2 linked regions of the Xenopus tropicalis genome follow. The protein of the gene in region 1 purifies or fractionates together with the protein of each later gene. This does not show direct contact. Links are inferred from orthologs where the notes say so. Each region holds a gene or a part of one and is shown on either strand. Other genes may lie near its edges. The genes, in order: slc6a15 and glycerol-3-phosphate acyltransferase 3.

Region 1 (3,827 bases):
TTGGAAACAAGTCATGGACTAAAATGGTCCATTGTGCCATTTTGGTAAGGGCCCTAATGTCTTAGACAAGAATGTTTTAAAGTCACAAAACAATGCTAAATACAGACAGCAAGAGCAAGTGGCATTTAAGGGAAAAAGTATCAAAGTTGTGGCAAAATGTGTATATGTAAAAGGATAAAGATGCATGAAACAGACATTCTTAAATTACTTATTTTCTTAAATGTACATTTACATTATTCTATTTCACCTATCAAAAGTTTATAGGCAGCACGGTGAACAGAAGTTCTAAGGCAAAAAAAGCCTAAACCTAAACTATTCCTAAAGAATAGTGCAGTTCTATTTAGACCTCAAACACCTTGAAGAACCAGAAAGAATTGAGAAATGTGCTACCCAAGGTTGGAGTGTTCCCTATTGGAGCAGGGGGTAACCCATCTATTTTAATAGTCATTTGCTCCTTCTAATAACTAATAAATAGTTTTAGTAAAATATCTGGTGCAGGGTTTTGCTGTAAAGTGGTAGTAGAAGTGATGATGCTCAGTTTGGAGACCATAGTAGTCATGGTGCTTGCCATAGTAGTCATGGGATGCATATGCCAGCACTGTGCAGGGAATATTATATTTAGAGATGGGTTTCATCAGAACTTGGAATGTACTTTAAATTTATGAAGTAAGCTAGTAAAGCTCCCTTGTTGGACGGAGGGACCTGAAAAGTCAGTTACCAGTCATATACTGGAATCAATTTTATTGAGAAAATTTGTTGAAAAAGTAAAAGTTGCTGACGAGTTGAGATTAAGTTTGTATATTTGGTTTCAGCTTGAAATAATGCTTGAGCCCAAAGTCTGGCGAGAAGCTGCCACTCAGGTGTTCTTTGCGCTTGGCCTGGGATTCGGAGGAGTCATTGCCTTTTCAAGCTACAACAAAAGGGACAACAACTGTCATTTTGATGCTGTCCTGGTGTCCTTTATTAACTTTTTCACCTCTGTCCTGGCAACACTAGTGGTGTTTGCCGTGTTAGGATTCAAGGCAAATATTATGAACGAGAACTGCATTTCCAAGTAAGATGCTAATACTTTTTTCTTGTGTTAAGGAACGTTCCCCGCAAAGCCACTAATTACTGATTTGCTTTGTTTCAGAAACACAGTCAAGATTGTGAAATATTTAGAAGCTGGCAATCTCAGCTGGAGTAATGTTCCACATCATGTCAATTTCTCAAGTATGTCAGCACAGGACTATAACCTGGTCTATTACATATTTCAGAAAATAAAAGAAGAAGAATTTGACAGCCTAGGGCTGGACTCCTGTCAGATAGAAGATGAGCTTAACAAGGTAACCTTCACATTTTCATTACAGTACAGGAAACAGCAGCACTAATTTGCCTGCTTGTGCCAAGCATTTGGCCCTCTTGCGCTAAGGTAACAAGGCTGGTTACAGCGAGAGTCTTACTTTGTTCTCTAGCTAGTGCTACAAAACAGAGTGGTGCAAAATCACCCCTTAGTGCTGTATTTGCATCTTGCACTAAATCTGCTGTGTCTTGTGTCTGTTATTGCTTCCTAACTTGTGTGTGTCTGAATGACTTGCAAAATAGGGGTGTCTAGCCTAGCCTAGCCTGCCTCTTATGAATAGAGCACTGGCAATCACAGCAGTAGGTTTTCAGGAGAAGCACCATATTAACCATATTAAATTTGTTCTATAGAGTAAAATGTTGCTATGGTTGTAATGTAGTTCTAGTCAACCAATGCAAATGTACCGGTTTGTTTAAATGCAGTTATTTTATTACTGAAACAGCCACCACAATGATTCATTTGTTTCAAATAAGCAGTGGGTTTTGAGTGTTGTTATAGTATCAGATTCTCTTTTATGTGCAACCATCACAACTGATTGCATGAAGGAGAAGTTTGGATTTTTCCAAGATATAATTCATTTAATTCACATTAGTGCTAAGGTGTTTGCAGTTTCAAAGTCACTTTAACCTCTACACCCAGATACCAGCCAGTATAGATGACTGTGTGGTCTCAGGCCAGAAGAAATAGGCTGCCTCTTATATATGCCATAGACAGTCACTATTTAGTGGGCTGGTGGGTAGTAATGAGTAAATCTGTCCCTGAAAAATTCATGAAACGAATTTGTTGCACGATTTTTTGTCGCCCGTGTCTTTTTTGACGCCTGCATCTTTATTTTGTCGCCAAGCTTTTTTTTTTTACACGACCGCACCCAATTTGACGCGCAACTAATTTTTCCACTGGGAATTTTCACGGAAGTTATGCAAAACAATTCGCCAATGCCGAAATTTGCTGTGAATCCATGCCTGGTGGAAAAATTTGCTCATCACTACTGGTGGGGGCTGTATGAGCCTCTGTGTACATAAAATACCAGGGCCTATTTTGTATCCCAGTGCAGACCATATTTGTAGGTGTTAAAAGGAATGGGTAACAACTACATGAGTCAATCAGGGACTTAAAATACTGTAATTTATATTTATTAGTCAAAAGGAAAATTGTCATAAATTAAGAAAATGAACATTATTGCGTGAGTATTTTTGGGTGTTAACACACTTTTAATTTCTCCTTGTCTTTCAGTCAGTCCAAGGGACTGGGTTGGCTTTTATTGCCTTCACTGAAGCTATGACACATTTTCCTGCTTCTCCTTTTTGGTCAGTGATGTTTTTTCTCATGTTAGTGAACTTGGGCCTTGGCAGCATGTTTGGAACTATTGAAGGCATTATAACTCCCATTGTTGATACATTTAAAGTACGGAAGGAACCACTCACTGGTAAGCTCGTATTATAAATTGTTAACGCGTTATATTTGCATAGTGTTGTATCTTAGGACATAGGCTGTGTTTTGTAAGAAGACACTGAGTTATTTAGCTATTTATGTACCCATATTAATTCAATTATATCATATTTTTCCATTTAACAACAATTAGAGAAACATTAAAGCCATCTTTTTTTGCCATGCAACAAATCCTGAATAGTGAACCATCTATAACTAGTATATTCATATTAAAGGAAAATTCCAGCAAAAAATATTAAAAAAATGTTGTCTCCTATTATCTAGGGCTTTAAAAGCACCTGATATTTAGGGTTTGGTACTCAAATTCTAAAGATTTAGTCCAGAACCCAATCCTTGGGATTCGGTACTTCCCTAAATGAACAGGGATAAGCAAACTACTGCAAAATACGTTATAAAAAAAATGTTTTTTTTGTTTTGTCTTTTTCTTTTTTTTATTCCAGTTGGATGCTGCCTGCTTGCATTCTGCATTGGCCTACTCTTTGTACAGAGGTCAGGAAATTACTTTGTTACGATGTTTGATGACTATTCTGCTACATTACCACTGCTGATTGTGGTCATTTTAGAGAATGTTGCAATTGCTTGGGTATATGGCATAGACAAGTAAGTACTGGGAATTTTATTCAACTCACCTTTCTAATTGTCTAAACTAGTTCTTTTTAACAGATGATTTCAGAGGACATTATTGACAGCTTGACATACAAAGCTTTATAAAGATGCCATTTTACACCTAGTTTTTACTACCATTCCATTTACATGACTTAACAAATAGGCCCATTAGTATCACATTCCTTACCATTTTATGTAGCCCTAACTCCTTTAATACATTTTAATTTAGATGTATATTTAATGAATAATGGGCCTTAATGATCAAGTGGTCATACTGACTGAATAATCTAGCAAAGCCCAGACAACTACTTTATATCAGTGTCTTTACTTCATTCTCTTTCAGATTCATGGATGATTTAAAGGACATGCTAGGTTTTACCCCATACAAATACTATTACTATATGTGGAAATACATCTCTCCTGTCTTGTT
Region 2 (3,827 bases), on another chromosome or scaffold:
TTACTATAGATCAAAAATGCCAGGCAAAATCACTCTACAAATTGCAATGCCAGGAAGCTAAATATTGGTGCAAAATACCAAACTGCAATGCTTTTCTAAATAAAGCATTTTTTTATAAAAATATATGAAAATTCTGAAAAATCAGCGAAAAGCTTTGTTTACAGTATCATCTTCTGCAAGTGACACAAGGTAACACTACTTAAGGTGGCCATACTTAGGCCAATTGTAGCTGCCAATATCGGTCCCTTGGACTGATTCGGCAGCTTATCAGCCCGTGTAGGGGCAGGAACAAGGGGCATGCCCGACCGATATCTGGCCTGAAATTGGCCAGATATCGATCGGGCAGGTTAAAAGATTTAGTCGGATCGGGGACTGCATCGGCTCGTTGATGCGGTCCCCAAACCAACTGCCCCATTGCTGCCATTATAATTCGATCGTTTGGCCCTGGGGCCTACATGTTCCCCGATATCGCCCACCCGTGTAAGCCCACCCGTGTAAGCGAGCGAATCTTCACGTGTATGGGCACCTTTATAAGTTTCTTCACTAACACTATCCAAAATCCAGCTGCACAAATGGCACCCTCAGTAAACAGTTGTCCTTGGTGCCTGGTCTGATGGTGATAATGCAGTACAACTAAACATGCAATGTGTTTGCTGAAAATTATCAAAGGGTTCTTCTCTAGTCCTAGGGGCTGATTTACTAAGACATGATTTCGAATCCGAATTGGAAAAATTCCGATTGGAAACGAACATTTTGCGACCTTTTCGTATTTTTTGCGATTTTTTCGGCGTCTTTCCGATTTTTGCGTAAAAACGCGTGTTTTTCGGCGTCTTTCCGATTTTGCGTAAAAACGCGAGTTTTCCGGCGTCTTTACGATTTTTGCGTAAAACGTGAGTTTTTCGGCGTCTTTATGAAAGTTGCGCAAAGTCGCGATTTTTTCGTAGCGTTAACACTTGTGCGCAAAGTCGCACCTTTTTCGTAGCGTTAAAACTTAAAAGGCGCGACGTTTCACGCAAGTTTTAACGCTACGAAAAAATTGCGACTTTGCACAACTTTCGTAATGGCTACGAAAAACTCGCGTTTTTACGCAAAAATCGTAAAGACGCCGAAAAACTCGCGTTTTTACGCAAAATTCGTAAAGACGCTGAAAAAAATCGCAAAATTACCGATCATTACGAAAAAAACGCAATCGGACGCATTCGGCCCGTTCGTGGGTTAGTAAATGTGCCCCCTAGTGTAGCTTTCGCGACCACCAACTTTCTGTAGCTGTGTCTGAATTTGAATATTGCCTGTGCTTGCAGTGTAGCTCCTAATGTGCTCTCCCCACTGTGCAGCAGCTGTTTCACTTTTCTGTCCTCACTATGTGTTACCCTAAGGTAGTGTGTAGCTTGGGAAGGTCAGGGGTGTATTTAGGTACTGTGCTGACATAGGCACCAGAGCTAATTACGCTCCTACATTGTGTGCGATATCACCGGCACGGGGTGCTTGACGTCACATGTGCTGACATCAAGCGCAGCGTATGTGTGCCATCACTTCCCCGAAGCCACCAACCACCAACTCCCCACACCCCCCAGCTCTGTCACTGGATTTTCTATAGAAATTCTGAGGGCATTATTTTTTGATTAAAAAAAAAATCAAACTATATATATATGTATATTTCTAGTTTTCATTTCCCTTTACCTTATCAGAATTATACTTAAAATGTAGCACTTAATAAAAAGTCAAAAGCACCTTAAACTGAGCAATGAAAGAATTTGTGAATCATTTTAGAGTAGTTAATAGTAAAGGGAACCTACAAAAATTCCCTTAGGAAGCCCATGGGTAATGCACCTTCCCATTTAGGAAATGGAATAGTCTTTATGTTTATTTTTAAAATGTTTAGAGCCCTGTTTAGAGCTTTAAATAACAAAAAAAACACAGGTTTTACCTATTTTTTATATTATGAAACAAATATGTTCAGCTATATGACTTTATCATTAAACTGGTGATATAAAAAGGTATACTGTATTGTAATACAATTATTGCTAGTTTGCAGATTAACACCATTGGGCAAGCATGGAGGGGAATCTTGCAGTAAGAAAATGTAAAAAACAGCTTTTACCCTAAATTCATATAATCCTTTTGTAGTAATATGTATTGCAGTCAATGGACCTTCTATTGATGGATCAGTTGGTGAATCTAAATTAACTTTTTAATATAATAAAGTTTTCTGAGACAATCTGCAATTGGTTTTTATTTTTTGTGTGTGTTTTTTTTCTGGTATTTAGCTTTTTGTTTATCAGCTCTCCAGTTTGTAATTTCAGCAGCTGTCTGGTTGCTAGGGCCTGGTTTACCTTAGCAACCAGCCAGTGGTTTAAATGAGAGACTGGAATATGAATAGGAGAGGGCCTGACTAGAAAGATGAGCAATTAAAAGTAACAATCATTTTTGGCTATCAGGGGCAGATGTAGAAGTGGAAGGGAAATAATTCAAAAACTATAAAAAACAAAGAAGACCAGTTACAGAATTGCTAGGAACAGAAAATTCAAAATTGCTAGGAACAGAACATTACTAAAAGTTAATTTAAAATTAATTTAAAGGTGAGCCACCCCTTTAACTATATAATCCTCTTTTGATTGCTCTGATAATTCACATTTATCCTTTGAAGCCTTATATGTTATATTGTGTCATTTTATGATTCATTGGTTTTTAAATTTATTAATAAATGTTAAGTTTTAACTAACTGTTCTAATCACATGGTTCTGATTTGTATGTGAATGGAAAGGTGCATTATTAAGGGAACTCTTGTAGGCCCCTTTTTTCTAGAATTATACTTTATGTATATCTTCAGATACAGAAAATGTAACATCCCTAAAATATTACATCTGATGAACTATCACCAACAAACATATAAGGGTTCATTTGATATATCCTTTGCAGTGTGCAAATGAGCTCTCTAGTCTATATAATGAGATAAATTTGCTATAAGCCTTTAAGATATGTAAGCAAATGCAACAATGGAAATACATCCTCCTTTTTGTTTCTGCCTACCAAGGTATTATACAGAGAGATCAGTCCCCAATGGAGACAGAGATTGGAGGCTTGAGAAAAAGTAGGAGTCAGGACATACAGCAAGGAGACTTTGAACTTGGGGATGTCTTCTATTTTGCAAAGAAGGGATTTGAAGCTATTGTTGAAGATGAGGTCACTCACAGGTTTTCCTCAGAAGAACTCATCTCTTGGAACCTTCTTACTAGGACCAACAACAACTTTCACTATGTCAGTCTCCGAGTCACACTCATCTGGGTGCTGGGATTATTTGTGCGCTACTGTATTCTTCTGCCTTTACGGTAAGATTGTGAAAGTTAGACCAGGTTTGGTAAACTCCTATATGCATGTAGCACAGTGCTGTCCAACTTCTGCGGTGCCGAGGGCCGGAATTTCTCTCGGGCCGCTAATGGAAGCCAGTTTGGCCACTCCCCCATTTTAAACCACACCCACTTCAAACCACACCCATTTTATCACAATGGTCGCTGCAGGGATATCAACCATCATTCATATGTTAAAGAATTATATTATGTCATATTAAGACAAACACTTAAATCCATATGCCTTCTCCTCCCCTGTGGATAGCACAGCAACCCCCAGCATATAATTACACACCTTAGGGACCATTTAATTGCTATTTCCAACTGCTAACAAACTCCCAGAACAAACCCCTGCCAGGTTCACCTCCCACAGGCAGCATAGGGTAGGCAGAGTATGGCACACACAGGCAGCACTCTGCCTGTCCTATGCTGCCTGTGTGTACCATACTCTGCCTGTCCTATGCTGCCTGTGGGTGCCAT

What was found.
Region 2: the proteins of slc6a15 (region 1) and glycerol-3-phosphate acyltransferase 3 purify together in Homo sapiens (co-immunoprecipitation; 3 studies listed by BioGRID and IntAct, counting the BioPlex papers as one, with this or other methods). This does not show direct contact. The link is inferred for Xenopus tropicalis from reciprocal best matches to the Homo sapiens genes SLC6A15 and GPAT3.

What each region holds. Positions count from the first base shown.
Region 1 is NC_030679.2:53,629,728-53,633,554, reverse strand, and holds part of slc6a15 (sodium-dependent neutral amino acid transporter B(0)AT2), read left to right. Parts: intron 1-812; coding exon 813-1,054; intron 1,055-1,132; coding exon 1,133-1,325; intron 1,326-2,575; coding exon 2,576-2,768; intron 2,769-3,231; coding exon 3,232-3,391; intron 3,392-3,740; coding exon 3,741-3,827.
Region 2 is NC_030677.2:85,544,653-85,548,479, forward strand, and holds part of glycerol-3-phosphate acyltransferase 3, read left to right. Parts: intron 1-3,034; coding exon 3,035-3,329; intron 3,330-3,827. UniProt on the Homo sapiens protein: Converts glycerol-3-phosphate to 1-acyl-sn-glycerol-3-phosphate (lysophosphatidic acid or LPA) by incorporating an acyl moiety at the sn-1 position of the glycerol backbone.